2 linked regions of the Lonchura striata genome follow. The protein of the gene in region 2 purifies or fractionates together with the protein of the main gene of each other region. This does not show direct contact. Links are inferred from orthologs where the notes say so. Each region holds a gene or a part of one and is shown on either strand. Other genes may lie near its edges.

Region 1 (10,190 bases), on a different chromosome or scaffold from region 2:
AATTTTGAGAAGATTTTGGGAGGGTGGGTGGCACCCGGTGGGCACTGGGTGACGCTGGGGGTGGTGACACCACTTTGGGGTGTCCCTGGGCAGCACCCACAGGTGACAAATCTCACTTTTTAACGGAATTTTCCATTTGTGAAGAGGAAAATTCCTGTTTTTTGGGCTGATTTTGATGCTTTAAAGACGTTTCCTGTGGTAGGGAGCACCCAGAGGGGACTGGGGGACACTGGAGGGGTGGCAGGGGACACCGTGGTGACACAGGGTGGCAGGGGACACTGAGGGACATTGGGGGTGGCAGGGGACACTGTGGGTGGTACTGGGGGTGGCAGGGGATTGAGGGACACTGGGGGTGGCACTGGGGGTGGCAGGGGACACTGAGGGACATTGGGGGTGGCAGGGGATTGAGGGACACTGGGGGTGGCACTGGGGGTGGCAGGGGACACTGAGGGACATTGGGGGTGGCAGGGGATTGAGGGACACTGGGGGTGGCACTGGGGGTGGCACTGGGGGTGGCAGGGGACACGGGGGTGGCCCTGGGGGTGGCAGGGCTCAGTGTGGTGGCACTGGGGGTGGCAGGGCACACTGAGGGACATTGGGGGTGGCAGGGGACACCGTGGTGGCCCTGGGGGTGGCAGGGGACACCGGGGTGGCCCTGGGGGTGGCCCTGGGGGTGGCAGGGGACACCGTGGTGACACAGGGTGGCAGGGGACACTGCGGGTGGCCCTGGGGGTGGCAGGGGACTGCGGGTGGCACTGGGGGTGGCAGGGGACACCATGGTGACACAGGGTGGCAGGGGACACTGCGGGTGGCCCTGGGGGTGGCAGGGGACAGTGTGGTGGCCTTGGGGGTGGCAGGGGACACCGTGGTGGCCCTGGGGGTGGCAGGGGACACCGTGGTGGCCCTGGGGGTGGCCCTGGAGGTGGCAGGGGACACCGGGGTGGCCCTGGGGGTGGCCCTGGAGGTGGCAGGGGACACCGGGGTGGCCCTGGGGGTGGCCCTGGAGGTGGCAGGGGACACCGGGGTGGCCCTGGGGGTGGCAGGGGACACCGGGGTGGCCCTGGGGGTGGCAGGGGACACTGAGGGACATTGGGGGTGGCAGGGCTCACCCGAGACCCCCGGCACCGTCACCAGCTCCTCCTGCCGGCTCTCCTTGAGCTGCAGGATCTTCTCCAGCGCCTGCGGGATCTTGGGGCCCACCCCGGAGTCCTCGGCCTGGGGGGCACCATGGGGGGGTCAGCGGGACCCCCGGGACCACCCCCAAAATCAGAGAGACCCCCCAAGGACCCCCTGGAATGAGGAAGACCCCCGGGACTCCCTCAAAATCAGGACGACCCTCCTGAAATTAAGGAGACTCCAAAAAAGGGGAGACTCCTGGGTCTGCCCCCAAAGAGACCCCAGACCCACAGAGACCCCTCCCCACAATAAAGGAACCCCAGACTCAGAGACCCCAAACAGAGCCCCCAGCCCCTCCCCAACAGACACCACAAACCCACAGAGACCCCTCCCCACAACAGAGACCCCAGACTCAAGAGACTCCCCGTGCAGACCCCCAGCCCCACAGAGACCCCCCCCAGCCCCACAGACCCCCAAGCCCCCAGCCCCACAGACCCCCCCAATACAGCCCCCCGGAGACCCCCCCACAATACAGCCCCCCCAGCCCCACAGACCCCCCCCAGCCCCACAGACCCCCCAAGCCCCCAGCCCCACAGAGACCCCCCCCAGCCCCACAGACCCCCCCAAGCCCCCAGCCCCACAGAGACCCCCCAGCCCCACAGACCCCCCAAGCCCCCAGCCCCACAGAGACCCCCCAGCCCCACAGACCCCCAATCCCCCAGCCCCACAGAGATCCCCCCAATACAGCCCCCCCAGCCCCACAGACCCCCCCAATACAGCCCCCCCAGCCCCACAGACCCCCAAGCCCCCAGCCCCACAGACCCCCAATCCCCCAGCCCCACAGACACCCCAAGCCCCCAGCCCCACAGAGACCCCCCCCAGCCCCACAGACCCCGCCAAGCCCCCAGCCCCACAGAGACCCCCCCAATACAGCCCCCCCAGCCACACAGACCCCCCCAATCCCCCAGCCCCACAGACCCCCAAGCCCCCAGCCCCACAGACCCCCCCCAAGCCCCCAGCCCCCCAGAGACCCCCCCCAGCCCCACAGACCCCCCCCAGCCCCACTGACCCCCCCCAGCCCCACAGACCCCCAAGCCCCCAATCCCCCAGCCCCACAGACCCCCAAGCCCCCAAGCCCCCAGCCCCACAGACCCCCCAAGCCCCCAATCCCCCAGCCCCACAGACCCCCCAAGCCCCCAATCCCCCAGCCCCACAGACCCCCAAGCCCCCAGCCCCACCTCTCTGCTGTCGTCGCCGGGGGGCGGGGGGGGCCCGCGGGGCCGGGGGGCTCCCATGGCCAGGGGGGCTCCCATGGGGCTGCCTGAGGGAGGGGAGGGGGGGACACAAAGGTGACATCAGCCCAGGAGGGGGTGGGCACAGGGGACAAAGGTGTGTCCCCCCCCCCACCCAGGGGTCCCCCTCACCTCGGGGGGCCAGGGGGGTCCTGGCAGCCATGGGAGCCCCCTCGGGGGGCGCACGGGGGGCGGGGGGGGTCAGCTTGGCCATCTCCTGCTGCCGCTCCTGCTCCAGCAGCACCGCGGCCTGGGGGGCACGGGGGGGGCACGGGGGGTCAGGGGGGCCTGGGCTCGGCCCCCCCACCCCGAGGTGCCCCCCAAAACCCAGGGGTGTCCCCCCCCTCCCACCTCACCCGTTTCTGCTGCTCCAGCAGCTCCTGCTCCTTGGCCTTGTCCCCGAATGGGTGCTGGCCCTGTCGGGGGAGCACAGTCAGGACAACCCCCAGCACCCAAGGGTGCGCCCACAAGGGGTCACCCACTCTTCAACACCCCCAAAAACGCCAAATCCCACCCCAAAACCACCTCTCAGCTCATCCCCTCTATAGGTGCCTCACCCTCTCCAACACCCCCTGAACGCCTTTAAACCCCCCAACTCCCCCCAAACCCCACACCCCCGAGTCCCCTCGTGCTCCCCACCCACCCAAGGGTGCCCCTCACCCCAAAATGCCCTCCCTGGACCTGTCCCTGCCCCTCCTGCAGCAGCAGAGACACAGTCATCCTCCAAACCCCCCCAAAATACCCCCCAAACTCCACACCCTCCATTCCCCCCCTACCCAAGGGTGCCCCCCACCCCCCAAAAGGTGACCCCCACCACAAAACACCCCCACCCCGGACCTGAGCCCGCTCCTCCTGCAGCAGCAGGGCCCCTTTAACCCCCCCAAACCCCCAAAATCCCCCCGAATCCCCCCGAAACCCCACATCCCCATGCCCCCCACCCCCCGAAATGCCCCCCAGACCTGTGCCCGCTCCTCCTGCAGCAGCAGGGCCCCTTTAACCCCCCCAAACCCCCAAAATCCCCCCCAAACCCCACACCCCCGTGCCCCCCACCCCCCAAAATTCCCTCCAGACCTGTGCCCTCTCCTCCTGCAGCAGCAGGGCCCCTTTAACCCCCCCAAAATCCCCCCGAAATCCCACACCCCCGTGCCCCCCACCCCCCAAAATTCCCTCCAGACCTGTGCCTGTTCCTCCTGCAGCAGCAGGGCCCCTTTAACCCCCCCAAACCCCCAAAATCCCCCCAAAACCCCACACCCCCGTGCCCCCCAGACCTGTGCCCGCTCCTCCTGCAGCAGCAGGGCCCCTTTAACCCCCAAAATCCCCCCCAAACCCCACACCCCCATGCCCCCCACCCCCCAAAATTCCCCCCAAACCTGTGCCCGCTCCTCCTGCAGCAGCAGGGCCCCTTTAACCCCCCCAAAATCCCCCCGAAATCCCACACCCCCGTGTCCCCCAGACCTGTGCCCTCTCCTTCTGCAGCAGCAGGGCCCCTTTAACCCCCCCAAACCCACACCCCCGTGCCCCCCACCCCCCAAAATTCCCCCCAGACCTGTGCCCTCTCCTCCTGCAGCAGCAGGGCCCCTTTAACCCCCCCCAGACCCCCTTTAACCCCCCCAAACCCACACCCCCGTGCCCCCCACCCCCCAAAATTCCCCCCAGACCTGTGCCCTCTCCTCCTGCAGCAGCAGGGCCCCTTTAACCCCCAAAATCCCCCCCAAACCCCACACCCCCGTGCCCCCCACCCCCCAAAATTCCCCCCAAACCTGTGCCCTCTCCTCCTGCAGCAGCAGGGCCGCCTGCTGCTGGGCCAGCGTCAGCCGCTCCTCCTCGGAGAGCCCCCCGGGGGGGGCGGGGGCGGCACCGGGACCCCCCCCACGGGCCCCCCCAGACCGAAAGTGAGCCCCAGGCCCGGGGGGGGAGGGGGCGGCACCAGGGGGTGCTGCAGGGGCAGCGCTGGGGGCAGCTGGGGAGGGGGAGGAGGGGTCAGGGTCACCTGGGACACCCCCACCCCAAAATTTCATCCCCCGGGATTCAGTGGTGGGAGGGGTCTGAATCCCCTGATCACCCCCACCCCGAAATTTAAAACCACAAATGCCTCAAATTTGGGGGGTTTGGGTGGGTTTTAACCCTCCCTCCACCCCAAAACTGGGTGTTATTGCTCCCCCTCCTAAATTTGGGGGGTCTGGGTGGGTTTTAACCCTCCCTCCACCCCATAACTGGGTGTCATTGCTCCCCCCCACCTCAAATTTGGGGGGTCTGGAAGATTTTGAGCCCCTCCACCCCAAAATTGAATGTCATTGACCCCCCCCATCCCAAAAATGTGGAGCTCTGATGGATCTTAAACCCCCCCAAAATAACCCGTGGATTGCCCCCCCCCCCCCCCACCCCAAACTGGGGGTCCTGGGGGTGCCCCCAACCCCCCCTCCCTCCAAACCAGACCCTGGGGGGTTCCTGCCCCCACCAAACCCCCCCCAGATCCCCCAAAATCCCACCTGGGGGGGCGGGGCCTTGTCCCCCTCCTCGGGGCGCAGAGCAGGGCGGCTCAGCACGATCCCAGTCTGGGGGGGAGCACAAATTTTGGGGGGGTTCCCATGAGCCCCCACACTCGAGAGGACATGGGGACCCCCCTTCTGGGAGGGCAGGGACAGCAGGAGCTCTCTCACCCCCCCAAAAATGGAATAAATGCCCCCAAAAGCACATTAAACCCCCCAAAATCAGAGTAAACCCACCCAAAATCTCATTAAACCCCCCAAAATCAGAGTAAACCCACCCAAAATCTCATTAAACCCCCCAAAATCAGAGTAAACCCACTCAAAATCTCATTAAACTCCCCCAAATCCTATTAAGCTCCCCAAAGTCCCATTAGGACACCTAAAAAATCACATTATACCACCCCAAAATCAAAATAAACAACCCTAAAATCACATTAAATCCACCAAAAATCCCCTCCCACCCCCTCAAAACCACATTAAACCCCCCAAAAATCACATTACATCCTCCAAAACTGCCATGAGCCCCCTCAAAATTCCATTAAATTCCCCCAAAATCCAATTAAGCCCCCCCAAAATCACAATAAATCCCTCCATAATCCCATGAAATCCCCTCAAAATCACAACAGACCCCCCAAAAACGAGTCCCCCTCCTTTAAGGGACACAAGGAGGGGGGAGAATTTGGGGTCCCACCGTTTTGGGGGTCTCACCTGCAGGGTGTAGGCCTGGAGCCGCTCCAGCAGCTCCTCCCGGGTCCCTGGGGGGGATTGGGGGGGTTCAGGGATCCCCAAATTCTGCCCCACAAACCCCAACCCCCCCCACGTTCCTCTGTCCCCCCAAGGAACCCCAAGAATTTCCCACCCCAGGGACCCCCAAAATTCCCCCAGGGACTCCTGACCTCCCTCAGGACTCTCAAATCCCCCCAGGGAACCCCAAAAATCCCCCAAATCCCCACAGGTGACCCCAAAATCTTCCCCCTTCCCCTCAGATCTCCCCTCAAGTGACCCCAAAACCCCCAAATTTCCCTCCTACCCCACAAATGTCCCCTCAAGTGACCCCAAATTTTCCCCATCCCCTCACACCTCTCCCAAATCCCCTCAGGTGACCCCGACCCAGCCAATTTCCCCTCAGACCTCCCCTCAAGTAACCTCAAAACCCCAAAAATGTCCCTCCTACCCCTCTGATCTTCCCTCAAATGACCCCAAAAATTTTTCCTCCTACCCCTCTGACCTCCCCTCAAGTAACCCCCAAATTTCCTCCTTCCCCTCACACCTCCACCAAATCCCCTCAGGTGAACCCTAAAACCCCCCAATTTCCTCTCTTCCCCTCAAGTGACCCCAAAACCCCCAAATTTCCTCCTTCCCCTCACACCTCCCCCAAATCCCCTCAGGTGAACCCTGAAACCCCCAAATTTCCCTGCTACCCCTCAGATCTCCCCTCAACTAACCCCCAAATTTCCTCCTTCCCTTCACATCTCTCCCAAATCCCCTCAGGTGACTCCGACACCCGCTCAGTTTCCCATTCAGATCTTTTCCCCCAAATCCCCTCACGGCTCCCGTTCCCCTCACGGCTCCTCCCGTTCCCCTCACGGCTCCCATTCCCCTCAGGTCCCGCTCCCCTCACGGCTCCCGCTCCCCTCACGGCTCGCCCCCGCTCCCCGCACCCTGCGCGGGGGCTCCGATGCCGGCGAGCGTGGCCTGGAGCTCGGGGTGGGCCCATCCGGCGTAGGGGGAGCGCTCGGGGGCTCGGGGGTCCCTGAGGGGCTCCCCGGGCCCGGCCGCCGCCGCCTCCGCGCGCTCCGCCGCCATCTTGGCCCCGCCGCCGCCGCCGCGAGCGTCGCAGCCAATCAGAGAGCGCGGCGCCGCGCGTGATGACGTCACGGGGTGAAAAGGGCGGGGCGTGCGCGGGTATTGGGGTAACGGGGAGGGTGACGTCACGGCGGCGAGGGTGACGTCACGGAAACGATGCTGGCATGAGCGGTGCTGGAGTGACGTCACAGGATTCGCTAGCCCTGCTCATTAGCATGGCCCCGCCAAGCCCCTGCCCCACATCCCAGACCCTCATTTGCATAGCTCCGCCCACACCACCTGCATTCGTTCACACCTATTTGCATAGCACCGCCCCCAACCCGCGCTCATTTGCATCACGCCAGGATTTCAGCTGGTTTGCGTGAGCCCCTCGGTGATCCAGCCCATCATTTGCATAACCGCGCTCATTATGCAGATGAAGCCCCGCCCTCTGGCCTGGCCACGCCCCAAACGCGGCCATTAATTTATCACCGCGTGGTTCCGTTTAGGCCCCGCCCCCTTTTGGGCGGGCTCAGTATTAGACCCCGCCTCTAGAGGGGCGTGGCCGCCTCAGCTTCCGCCTTCCTTCTCGGAAGTGACGTCACCGCCGCCGCTCTACCCGGAAGTGCTGCCGCAGGTGAGCGGGCGCCGCTCGGTGGGGGCGGGGCCGGGCGGGTCCCGGGGGGTCCCGGGGGGTCCCGGGGCTCCCCCCCCGCCCCTCCCCCCCCGCCGGGGGTCCCTGAGCCCCCCCCGTGTCCCCCCAGCCCCGCGATGTCGCGCGCCACCAAGCGGAAGCACGTGGTGCGGGAGCTGCTGGAGGAGCGCGTGCAGCCCGCGGAGGGCCAGAGCGTGGTCAGGGTGAGAGCGGGGACAGCGGGGACACCGGGGACAGCGGGGACAGCGGGGACACTGGGGACAGCGGGGACAGCGGGGACACTGCGGGGACAGCGGGGACACTGCGGGGACAGCGGGGACAGCGGGGACAGCGGGGACAGCGGGGACATGGGGACAGCGGGGACACTGCGGGGACAGCGGGGACATGGGGACACCGGGGACATTGGGGACATGGGGACACTGGGGACAGCGGGGACATGGGGACACTGCGGGGACATGGGGGACAGCGGGGACACTGCGGGGACAGCGGGGACAGCGGGGACACTGCGGGGACACTGCGGGGACAGCGGGGACATGGGGACACTGCGGGGACAGCGGGGACATTGGGGACATGGGGACACTGCGGGGACATGGGGACACTGCGGGGACAGCGGGGACACTGCGGGGACATGGGGGACAGCGGGGACACTGCGGGGACACTGGGGACAGCGGGGACACTGCGGGGACATGGGGGACAGCGGGGACACTGCGGGGACAGCGGGGACATGGGGACAGCGGGGACATGGGGACAGCGGGGACATGGGGACAGCGGGGACAGCGGGGACACTGCGGGGACACTGCGGGGACAGCGGGGACATGGGGACAGCGGGGACACTGCGGGGACACTGCGGGGACACTGGGGACATGGGGGACACTGCGGGGACACTGCGGGGACATGGGGGACATGGGGGACACTGCGGGGACACCGGGGACATGGGGACACTGCGGGGACAGCGGGGACATTGGGGACACTGCGGGGACATCGGGGACAGCGGGGACACTGCGGGGACATCGGGGACATTGGGGACACTGCGGGGACATCGGGGACAGCGGGGACACTGCGGGGACAGCGGGGACATTGGGGACACTGCGGGGACATGGGGACACTGCGGGGACATGGGGACACTGCGGGGACAGCGGGGACAGCGGGGACACTGCGGGGACACCGGGGACATGGGGGACACCGGGGACACTGGGGACATGGGGGACACTGCGGGGACACCGGGGAGACCGGGGACATGGGGACACTGCGGGGACAGCGGGGACACTGGGGACATGGGGGACACTGCGGGGACGTTGGAGACTGGGGACATGGGGGACACTGGGGACATTAAGGGATTGGGAACATCAGGGGGATTGGGGGGACATTTGGGACCCTGGGGACACTTCGGGGACGTTGGAGACCCTGGGGACATGGGGGACACTGGGGACACCGCAGGGACATCGGGGGGGACTGGGGACACTTAGGACACCGGTGGGACACCAGGGACATTGGGGGGATATTTGGGACACTGGGGACACCGGTGGGACACCAGGGACATTGGGGGGATTGGGGACATCGGGGGGATTTGGGGGGACATTTGGGACATTGAGGGACACTGGGGACATGGAGGGGACACTGAGTGTCCCCGCAGGTGTTGGGGACACCGGGGAACAACCTGCACGAGGTGGAGACGGCGGAGGGGACACGGTTCCTGGCCAGCATGCCACCGCGCTTCCGGCGGCACATCTGGATCAAGAGAGGTGACACCGCCACCCTGTCACTGTCACTGTGTCACCCTGTCACTGCCACCCTGTCACTGTGCTATTGTCACCCTGTCACTGCCACCGCGCTTCCGGCGGCACATCTGGATCAAGAGAGGTGACACCGCCACCCTGTCACTGTGTCACCCTGCCATTGTCACCCTGTCACTGTGACTGTGTCACCGTTTCTCCCATCCTGTCATTGTCACTGTGCCATTGTCACCCTGTTAGCGTCACTGTGTCACCCTATCACTGTCACCCTGCCACTGTCACCCGTCACTGTCACCCTGTCATTGTCACTCTGTCAGTGTCACTCTGTCAGCGTCACTGTGTTGTCGTCACCCTGTCAGCGTCACTGTGTCACCCTGCCATTGTCACCCTGTCGCTGTCTCGTGTCACTGTCACTTTGTCACTGTCACCAGGGCACTGGCACTGCCTCCCTGTCACTGTCACTGTGTCACCCTGTCATTGTCACTGTGCTATTGTCACCCTGTCAGTGTCACTGTGTCACCCTGCCATTGTCACTGTGCTATTGTCACCCTGTCAGTGTCACTGTGTCACCCTATCACTGTCACCCTGTCAGCATCACTGTGTAACCCTGCCATTGTCACCCTGCCATTGTCACCTTGCCACTGTCACCCTGTCATTGTCACCCTGTCAGCGTCACTGTGTCACCCTATCACTGTCACCGTCACCATCACTGTGTAACCCTGCCATTGTCACCCTGCCATTTTCACCCTGTCACTGTCACCCTGTCATTGTCACCCTGTCAGCATCACTGTGTCACCCTATCACTGTCACCCTGTCATTGTCACTGTGCCATTGTCACCCTGCCATCGTCACCCTGTCGCTGTCTCGTGTCACTGTCACTTTGTCACTGTCACCGGGGCACTGGCACTGCCTCCCTGTCACTGTGTCACCCTGTCATAGTCACTGTGCTATTGTCACCCTGTCAGTGTCACTGTGTCACCCTATCACTGTCACCCTGTCATTGTCACTGTGCCATTGTCACCCTGCCATTGTCACCCTGTCATTGTCACCCTGCCATTGTCACCCTGCCGCTGTCTCGTGTCACTGTCACTTTGTCACTGTCACCGGGGCACTGGCACTG
Region 2 (10,190 bases):
GTATTCCCAGTGCTCCCAGTTACCGGCAGCGGCGGCGGTCGCGGGACACGCTGCGCTGGTCGCGGTTGCGGCGCTCCCAGTGCTCCCAGTATCCCAGTGCCCATTCCCAGTGCTCCCAGTGCCCATTCCCAGTATCCCCAGTATTCCCAGTGCCCATTCCCAGTATTCCCAGTATTCCCAGTATTCCCAGTTTCCCCAGTTACCGGCGGCGGCGGCGGTCGCGGGACACGCTGCGCTGGTCGCGGTTGCGGCGCTCCCAGTGCTCCCAGTATCCCAGTGCCCATTCCCAGTGCTCCCAGTGCCCATTCCCAGTATCCCCAGTATCCCAGTGCCCATTCCCAGTATTCCCAGTGCTCCCAGTTACCGGCGGCGGCGGCGGTCGCGGGACACGCTGCGCTGGTCGCGGTTGCGGCGCTCCCAGTGCTCCCAGTATCCCCAGTATCCCCAGTGCCCATTCCCAGTATTCCCAGTATCCCCAGTGCCCATTCCCAGTATTCCCAGTTTCCCCAGTTACCGGCGGCGGCGGCGGTCGCGGGACACGCTGCGCTGGTCGCGGTTGCGGCGCTCCCAGTGCTCCCAGTATCCCAGTGCCCATTCCCAGTATCCCCAGTATCCCAGTGCCCATTCCCAGTATCCCCAGTATCCCCAGTGCCCATTCCCAGTATTCCCAGTATTCCCAGTATTCCCAGTTTCCCCAGTTACCGGCGGCGGCGGCGGTCGCGGGACACGCTGCGCTGGTCGCGGTTGCGGCGCTCCCGGGAGCGGCTGCTCCCAGTGCTCCCAGTATCCCAGTGCCCATTCCCAGTGCTCCCAGTGCCCATTCCCAGTATCCCCAGTGCCCCCAGTGCCCATTCCCAGTATCCCCAGTATCCCCAGTGCTCCCAGTTACCGGCGGCGGCGGCGGTCGCGGGACACGCTGCGCTGGTCGCGGTTGCGGCGCTCCCAGTGCTCCCAGTATCCCAGTGCCCATTCCCAGTATTCCCAGTGCTCCCAGTATCCCAGTGCCCATTCCCAGTGCTCCCAGTGCCCATTCCCAGTGCTCCCAGTATCCCCAGTGCCCATTCCCAGTATTCCCAGTGCTCCCAGTTACCGGCGGCGGCGGCGGTCGCGGGACACGCTGCGCTGGTCGCGGTTGCGGCGATCCCGGGAGCGGCTGCTCCCAGTGCTCCCAGTATCCCAGTGCCCATTCCCAGTGCTCCCAGTGCCCATTCCCAGTATCCCCAGTGCCCCCAGTGCCCATTCCCAGTGCTCCCAGTATTCCCAGTGCTCCCAGTTACCGGCGGCGGCGGCGGTCGCGGGACACGCTGCGCTGGTCGCGGTTGCGGCGCTCTCGGGAGCGGCTGCTCCCAGTGCTCCCAGTATCCCAATGCCCATTCCCAGTGCTCCCAGTGCCCATTCCCAGTATCCCCAGTATCCCCAGTGCCCATTCCCAGTATTCCCAGTATTCCCAGTGCTCCCAGTTACCGGCGGCGGCGGCGGTCGCGGGACACGCTGCGCTGGTCGCGGTTGCGGCGCTCCCAGTGCTCCCAGTATCCCAGTGCCCATTCCCAGTGCTCCCAGTGCTCCCAGTGCCCATTCCCAGTATTCCCAGTATTCCCAGTTTCCCCAGTTACCGGCGGCGGCGGCGGTCGCGGGACACGCTGCGCTGGTCGCGGTTGCGGCGCTCCCGGGAGCGGCTGCGCCGTTTGCGGTCGCGGCTGCGCGAGCGGCTGTGGGAGCGCTTGCGGTGCCGGTTCTCCTTGTCCCGCTCTGCGAGGGGAGGAAACACCCAAAATCGGCCAAAATTAACCCAAAATAGCTCAAAATTAACCCAAAATGGGCCAAAATTAACCCAAAATGGGCCAAAATTAACCCAAAATATCCCAAAATAAACCCAAAATAAACCAAAATAACCCAACATATCATAAACTAAACTCAAACTAATCCAAACCCCCGGTTCTCCTTGTCCCGCTCTGCGAGGGGAGGAAACACCCAAAATCGGCCAAAATTAACCCAAAATGGCCCCAAATTAACCCAAAATATCCCAAAATTAACCCAAAATGGCCCAAAATTAACCCAAAATAAACCTAAAATAAACCAAAATATCCCAAACTAACCCAAAGCCCCGGTTCTCCTTGTCCCGCTCTGCGAGGGGAGGAAACACCCAAAATCGGCCAAAATTAACCCAAAATAGCTCAAAATTAACCCAAAATGGGCCAAAATTAACCCAAAATTAACCCGAAATATCCCAAAATATCCCAAAATAAACCTAAAATAAACCAAAATATCCCAAACTAACCCAAACCCCCGGTTCTCCTTGTCCCGCTCTGCAAGGGGAGAAAACACCCAAAATGCACCAAAATTAACCCAAAATGGCCCAAAATTAACCCAAAATGGCCCAAAATTAACCCAAAATAGCTCAAAATTAACCCAAAATGGCCCAAAATTAACCCAAAATAGCTCAAAATAAGCCCAAAATAAACCTAAAATAAACCAAAATATCACAAACAAGCCAAACCCCCGGTTCTCCTTGTCCCACTCTGCAAGGGGAGGAAAAGTCCCAAAATCAACCCAAATATCCCAAAATATCCCAAAATTTACCCAAAATATCCCAAAATAACCCAAAATATCCCAAAATAACCCAACATATCATAAAATAAACCCAAACTAACCCAAACCCCCGGTTCTCCTTGTCCCGCTCTGCGAGGGGAGAAAACACCCAAAATGGCCCAAAATTAACCCAATATGGGCCAAAATTAACCCAAAATGGGCCAAAATTAACCCAAAATGGCCCAAAAATCACAAAATAAACCCAAAATATACCCCAAATCAACCCAAAATATCCCAAACTAACCCAAACCCCCGGTTCTCCTTGTCCCACTCTGCGAGGGGAGAAAACACCCAAAATGGCCCAAAATTAACCCAAAATGGCCCCAAATTAACCCAAAATAGCCCCAAAGATACCCAAAATATCCCAAAATAAACCCAAAATAAACCTAAAATAAACCAAAATATCCCAAACTAACCCAAACCCCCGGTTCTCCTTGTCCCGCTCTGCGAGGGGAGAAAACACCCAAAATGGGCCAAAATTAACCCAAAATGGCCCCAAATTAACCCAAAATGGCCCCAAATTAACCCAAAATGGCCCCAAATTAACCCAAAATGGGCCAAAATTAACCCAAAATAAACCTAAAATAAACCTAAAATAAACCAAAATAACCCAACATATCATAAAATAAACTCAAACTAATCCAAACCCCCGGTTCTCCTTGTCCCGCTCTGCGAGGGGAGAAAATACCCCAAAATCAACCCCAAAAAAGTGGAAAAAAACCAAAATTATCCCAAAATTGGTTGGGGGGGGGAAAAACCCAAAATTATCCCAAAACTGTGAGGGGAAAAATCCAAAATTATCCCAAAATTGGGAGGTAAAACCCCAAAATTATCCCAAAATTGGGGGGGAAAAGACCCAGAATTATCCCAAAATTTGGGTGGAAAAAACCCCAAAATTATCCCAAAATTGGGGGGGGAGGAAACCCCAAAATTATCCCAAAATTGTGAGGGGAAAAATCCAAAATTATCCCAAAATTGGGGGGGGAAAAGACCCAAAATTATCCCAAAATTTGGGTGGAAAAAACCCCAAATTCTCCCAAAATTGGGGGGGGAAAAAACCCAAAATTATCCCAAAATTGTGAGGGGAAAAATCCAAAATTATCCCAAAATTGGGAGGTAAAACCCCAAAATTATCCCAAAATTGTGGGGGAAAAACCCAAAATTATCCCAAAATTTGGGGGGGATCCAAAATTGGAGGAGGGGACCCCAAAATTTGGGGGAGGGGGTCACGAAGGATGAACCCAAAATTTGGGGGGATCCAAAATTCGAGGGGGGGGGTTCCCCAAAATTGGGGTGGGGTCAAAAATTGGGGAGGGGGGGACCCCAAATTCCCGTGGGGGGGACCCCAAATTAAGAGGGGAGTCCCCAAATTTGGGGAGGGGGGACCTCAAATTAGGAGGGGGGATCCCCAAATTTGGGGTGGGGGTCAAAAATTGGGGTGGGGGTCAAAATTGGAATGGGGGGGATCCCAAATTCGTGAGGAGGGACCCCAAATTAAGAAGGGGATCCCCAAATTTGGGGAGGGGGAACCCCAAATTAAGAGGGGGATCCCCAAATTTGGGGTGGGGGGACCCCAAATTTTGGGGTGGAGGTCAAAATTGGAATGGGGGGGGATCCCAAATTCTTGAGGAGGGACCTTAAATTAAGAGGGGGATCCCGAAATTTGGGGTGGGGGGACCCCAAATTTTGGGGTGGGGTCAAAATTGGAATGGGGGAGACCCCAAATTCGTGTGGGGGGACCCCAAATTAAGAGGGGGGTCCCCAAATTTGGGGTGGGGGGACCCCAAAAATTGGAGGTGGGGGACAAAATTGGGGTGGGGGAACCCCAAATTAAGAGCGGGGTCCCCAAATTTTGGGGTGGGGTCAAAATTGGGGTGGGGAAACCCCAAATTAAGAGGGGGGGATCCCCAAATTAGGGAGGGCGAACCCCAAAATTGGGGGTGGGGGTCAAAATTGGAGAGGGGGGACCCCAAATTAAGAGGGGGGATCCCCAAATTTGGGGTGGGGGAACCCCAAATTAAGAGGGGGGGGTCTCCAAATTAGGGAGGGCGAACCCCAAAATTGGGGGGGGGGGTCAAAATTGGAGAGGGGGGATCCCAAATTCGTGTGGGGGGACCCCAAATTAAGAGGGGGATCCCAAATTCGTGTGGGGGGGACCCCAAATTTAGAAGGGGATCCCCAAATTTGGGGAGGGCGAACCCCAAAATTGGGGGGGGGGTCAAAACCAATGGCGGACGAGCCCAATTTGGGGAAGGGGAGGGGGGGGCACCGAAAGTCGAACCCAAATTTTCGGGGGGAGAACCCAAACCGGGACTGGAGGAACCCCAAAACCGGGGGGGGGGGAACCCCAAATTTGGGCTGGGGTGGTGGGGGGGGGTCTCCCCCAATTTTTGGGGGGGTCTCCCCCGTTCCCCCCCCCCGTGAGGCGCGGCCCGTGGGGGGGGCGGGGCCGGTACCTTGTTTGTTCTCGTTCAGCTGCCGCTCGAACTCGTCGAAGTCGGACATGGCGGCGGCTCCCCGGGAGCCTCCCGGAGCTTTCCCGGCGCCTCCCCGGAGCTTTCCCGGAGCTCTCCCGGCGCCTCCCCGCTCCTCACGGCCGCCCTCAGGCCGCGCCGCCTCCGCCCGCGCTCCGCCGCTTCCGGCCGCGCTCGGCCGCTTCCGGCCGCGCCTTCGGCTCCTTCCGCCGCCGCTTCGGCAATTCCCGGCGGCGCTCGGGAACTCCCGCCAGCGCTCGGCGCTTCCGGTCCCGCTCGGAACTTCCGGCGCCGCTCGGGAATTTCCGGCGCCGCTCGGGAACTTCCGGCCCCGCTCGGCTTTTCCCGCCGCTTCCCGGCCCCGCTCGGGCCCGAAGCCCGCTCCCCTTTTTCCCCTTTTTCCCTTTTTTCCCTTTTTCCCCTTTTTCCCCTTTTTCCCCTTTTTTCCCCTTTTTCCCCTTTTGTCCTTTTTCCCCTTTTCCCCCTTTTTTCCCCTTTTTCCCCTTTTTCCCTTTTTCCCTTTTTCCCTTTTTCCCCTTTTCCCCTTTTTCCCCTTTTTCCCCTTTTTCCCCTTTTTCCCCTTTTTCCCCTTTTTCCCCTTTTTCCCCTTTTTTCCCTTTTTCCCTTTTTCCCCTTTTTTCCCTTTTTTCCCCTTTTTTCCCCTTTTTCCCCTTTTTTCCCCTTTTTTCCCTTTTTTCCCCTTTTCCCCCTTTTTTCCCTTTTTCCCCTTTTTCCCCTTTTTTCCCTTTTTCCTCTTTTTCCCCTTTTTCCCCTTTTCCCCTCTTTTTTCGGTCTTTTTTCCTTTTTTTCCCCTTTTTTCTGTCTTTTCTTCCCCTTTTTTCCCCATTTTCCCCTCTTTTCCCCTCTTCTCTCGGTCTTTTTCCCCTTTTTCCCCTTTTTTCTGTCTTTTTTTCCCCCCTTTTCCCCCTTTTTTCAGTCTTTTTTTCCTTATATTCCCCCTTTCCCCCCATTTTTCCCCTTTTTTCTGTCTTTTCTTCCCCTTTTCCCCCTTTTTTCAGTCTTTTTTTCCTTATATTCCCCCTTTTCCCCACATTTTTCCCCTTTTTTCAGTCTTTTTTTCATTTTATTCCCCCTTTTCCCCCATTTTTCCCCTTTTTTCAGTCTTTTCTTCCCCCATTTTTCCCCTTTTTTCAGTCTTTTTTTCCTTCCCTCCCCCTTTTTTCCCTTTTTTAGGCTTTTTTTTTTTCCCTTTTTCCCCTTTTGTGCCTTTTTTCCCCTTTTTCCCCCTTTTATTCCTTTTTTCCCTTTCCCCCTCTTTTTTCGGTCTTTTTTTTCCCTTTTTTCCCCTTTTTTCTGTCTTTTCTTCCCCTTTTTTCCCCATTTTCCCCTCTTTTCCCCTCTTCTCTCGGTCTTTTTCCCCATTTTTCCCCTTTTTTTCAGTCTTTTCTTCCCCATTTTCCCCCTTTTTTCAGTCTTTTTTTCCTTTTATTCCCCTTTTTCCCCCATTTTTCCCCTTTTTTCTGTCTTTTTTTCCTTCCCTCCACCTTTTTTCCTCTATTTAGTCTTTTTTTCCCCTTTTTCCGCTTTTGTGCCTTTTTTCCCCTTTTTCCCCCTTTTATCCCTTTTTTCAGTCTTTTCTTCCTTTTATTCCCCTTTTCCCCCCATTTTTCCCCTTTTTTCTGTCTTTTTTTCCTTTTTCTCCCCTTTTTTCCCCCTTTTCTTCCCCTGTTTTCCCTTTTTTCCCCATTTTTCGATCTTTTTTTCCCTCTTTTTCCCCTTTTTATAGTATTTTCTTCCTGCTTTTTCCCTTTTTCCCTTTTTTCGGTCTTTTTTGTCCCAGGTGTGCCAGGCCCAGCTGGGGCAGCTCTCAGAAAAAAAAAAACCAAAAATATTTTAATTTTTCATTTTTAAATTTCAATTTTTATTGACGGGAATTTCCCCACTCCGAACTTCCGGCGGCGTCACCTGGAGGCAAGACAACAAAGGGTTAATTCCAGCCCGAAATTCCCAAAATTTCCCCCAAAAATTCCCAAAATTCCCTCCAGAAAATTCCTGAAATTCCCACAAAAAATTCCCTCAGAAAATTCCTGAAATTCCCAAAAAAAATTCCCCAAAATTCTCCCCAAAAAAATTCCAAAATTCCCTCCAAAAAATTCCCAGAAGTACCGCAATAAAATTCCCAAAATTCCCCCCCAAAAATTTGGAAATTCCCCCAAAATATTCCCGAAACTCCCTTCAAAAATTCTCAAAATCCCAAAAAAAAATTCCCAAAATGCCCCCAAAAATTTCTGAAATTCCCCCAAAAATTCCCAGAATTCCCCCCCAAGAAATTCCCCTCCAAAAAAATCCCAAAATTCCCCCCCAAAAAATTCCCCAAAATTCTTCCCAAAAATTCTTGAAGTTTTCCCCCAAAATTCCCGAAATTCTCCCCAAAAAGTTCCCGACTTTCGCCCCAAATTGGGGGATTTGGGATTTGGGGCCCCCTCAGACCCCCCCGCGTGGGGGAGGGGCACAGGGATCCATCAGGGGTCAGAGCCCAGTGCTGCCATCACGGGGGGCCCCGAAATTCCCAAAATTCCAGCCCCGGATCCCGAAATTCCAACCTCGGATCCCGAAATTCCCAAAATTCCAGCCCCGGATCCCGAAATTCCCAAAATTCCAACCTCGGATCCCGAAATTCCAACCTCGGATCCCGAAATCCCCAAAATTCCAGCCCCGGATCCCGAAATTCCCAAAATTCCAGCCCCGGATCCCGAAATTCCCAAAATTCCAGCCCCGGATCCCAAAATTCCCAAAACTCCAGCCCTGGATCCCAAAATTCCCAAAATTCCAGCCCCGGATCCCGAAATTCCCAAAATTCCAGCCCCAGATCCCAAAATTCCAGCCCCGGATCCCGAAATTCCAACCTCGGATCCCGAAATTCCCAAAATTCCAGCCCCAGATCCCGAAATTCCAACCTCGGATCCCAAAATTCCAACCTCGGATCCCGAAATTCCCAAAATTCCCGCCCCGGATCCGGAAATTCCCAAAATTCCAGCCCCGGATCCCGAAATTCCAACCTCGGATCCGGAAATTCCCAAAATTCCAGCCCCAGATCCCATAATTCCAACGTCAGATCCCAAAATTCCAACCTCGGATCCCAAAATTCCAAAATTCCAACCCCGGATCCTGAAATTCCAACCCCGGATCCTGAAATTCCAACGTCGGATCCCAAAATTCCCAAAATTCCAGCCCCGGATCCCAAAATTCCCAAAATTCCAGCCCCAGATCCCAAAAACCCCCAAAAATAAATTTTAACCCTTTCAACCCCCCAAAAATCCCAATTTAACTCCCAAAAATCCAATTTTAACCCTTTTAACACCCCAAAATCCCAATTTTAACCCCAAAATCCCAATTTTAACCCCAAAATCCCCAATTTTAACCCTTTCAACCCCCCAAAAATCCCCAATTTTAACCCTTTCAACTCCCCACAAATCCCAATTTTAACCCCAAAAATCCAATTTTAACCCCAGAAACTCCCATTTTAACCCTTTCAACCCCCCCAAAATCCAACTTTAACCCTCGCAGCGCCCCCGAAGCACCCCCCGGACTGACGGAATTCCGGGAATTCCCGTTTTTCGGGAAGGCTCAGTCCTCCTCCTCGTCCTCGGCTCCACCGGCCCAGAATCCCATTTAAACCCAAAACCTTCCAATTTTAACCCCAAAATCCCCTTTAAAACTTCCAAAAATCCATTTTTAACCCTTTCAACTCCCCAAAAATCCCCAATTTTAACCCTTTCAACCCCCGAAAAATCCAATTTTAACCCCAAAACTCCCATTTTAACCCTTTCAACTCCCCACAAATCCAATTTTAACCCTTTCAACTCCCTAAAAATCCAATCTTAACCCCAAAATCCCCAATTTTAACCCTTTCAACTCCCCACAAATCCCAATTTTAACCCCAAAAATCCAATTTTAACCCCAGAAACTCCCATTTTAACCCTTTCAACTCCCCACAAATCCGATTTTAACCCTTTCAACTCCCCACAATCCCAATTTAACCCCCAAAACCCCCACGTTAACCCTTGCAGCGCCCCCCGGACTGACGGAATTCCGGGAATTCCCGTTTTTCCGGGAATGCTCAGTCCTCCTCCTCGGCTCCACCGGCCCAGAATCCATTTACACCCATAAAATCCCATTTAAACCCAAAACCTTCCAATTTTCACCCCAAAAATTCCTTTAAACCCTCCAAAAATCCAATTTTAACCCTTTCAACTCCCCAAAAAATCCCAATTTTAACCCCAAAAATCCAATTTTAACCCTTTCAACTCCCCACAAATCCCAATTTTAACCCCAAAATCCCAATTTTAACCCCAAAATCCCAATTTTAACCCCAAAATCCCCAATTTTAACCCTTTCAACTCCCAAAAATCCAATTTTAAATCCAAAAATCCAATTTTAACCCTTTCAAGTCCCCAAAAATCCCAATTTTAACCCCAAAACTCCCATTTTAACCTTTTCAACTCCCCAAAAATCCAATTTTAACCCTTTCAACTCCCCAAAAATCCCAATTTTAACCCCAAAATCCCCAATTTTAACCCTTTCAACCCCCCCAATCCAGTTTTAACCCTTTCAACTCCCCACAAATCCCAATTTAACCCCAGAAACTCCAATTTTAACCCTTTCAACCCCCCAAAATCCCAATTTTAACCCCAAAAATCCAATTTTAACCCCACAAATCCAATTTTAACCCTTTCAAGCCCCCACAATCCCCTCGCAGCGCCCCCGAAGCACCCCCGGACTGACGGAATTCCGGGAATTCCCGTTTTTCGGGAACGCTCAGTCCTCCTCCTCGTCCTCGGCTCCACCAGCCCAGAATCCATTTACACCCATAAAATCCCCTTTAAACCCAAAATCTTCCAATTTTCACCCCAAAAATTCCTTTAAACCCTCCAAAAATCCAATTTTAACCCTTTCAACTCCCCAAAAAATCCCAATTTTAACCCCAAAAATCCAATTTTAACCCTTTCAACTCCCCAAAAAATCCCAATTTTAACCCCAAAAATCCAATTTTAACCCTTTCAACTCCCCACAAATCCGATTTTAACCCTTTCAACTCCCCAAAAATTCCAATTTTAACCCCAAAATCCCCAATTTTAACCCTTTCAACTCCCCAAAAATCCAATT

The links.
Region 1: the proteins of U2AF2 (region 2) and SF3B2 purify together in Homo sapiens (affinity purification with mass spectrometry; 3 studies listed by BioGRID and IntAct, counting the BioPlex papers as one, with this or other methods). This does not show direct contact. The link is inferred for Lonchura striata from reciprocal best matches to the Homo sapiens genes U2AF2 and SF3B2.

Annotation. Positions count from the first base shown.
Region 1 is NC_134638.1:656,863-667,052, forward strand, and holds the start of SF3B2 (splicing factor 3B subunit 2), read right to left. Parts: upstream 6,713-10,190; 5' UTR 6,704-6,712; coding exon 6,559-6,703; intron 5,653-6,558; coding exon 5,606-5,652; intron 4,964-5,605; coding exon 4,867-4,963; intron 4,345-4,866; coding exon 4,169-4,344; intron 2,825-4,168; coding exon 2,765-2,824; intron 2,659-2,764; coding exon 2,541-2,658; intron 2,438-2,540; coding exon 2,355-2,437; intron 1,216-2,354; coding exon 1,110-1,215; intron 1-1,109. Other genes in the region: putative RNA-binding protein EIF1AD, read left to right, coding at 7,454-7,540, 8,971-9,079. UniProt on the Homo sapiens protein: Component of the 17S U2 SnRNP complex of the spliceosome, a large ribonucleoprotein complex that removes introns from transcribed pre-mRNAs.
Region 2 is NC_134640.1:2,650,741-2,660,930, reverse strand, and holds the start of U2AF2 (splicing factor U2AF 65 kDa subunit), read right to left. Parts: upstream 5,246-10,190; 5' UTR 5,095-5,245; coding exon 5,046-5,094; intron 1,750-5,045; coding exon 1,614-1,749; intron 1-1,613. UniProt on the Homo sapiens protein: Plays a role in pre-mRNA splicing and 3'-end processing. By recruiting PRPF19 and the PRP19C/Prp19 complex/NTC/Nineteen complex to the RNA polymerase II C-terminal domain (CTD), and thereby pre-mRNA, may couple transcription to splicing.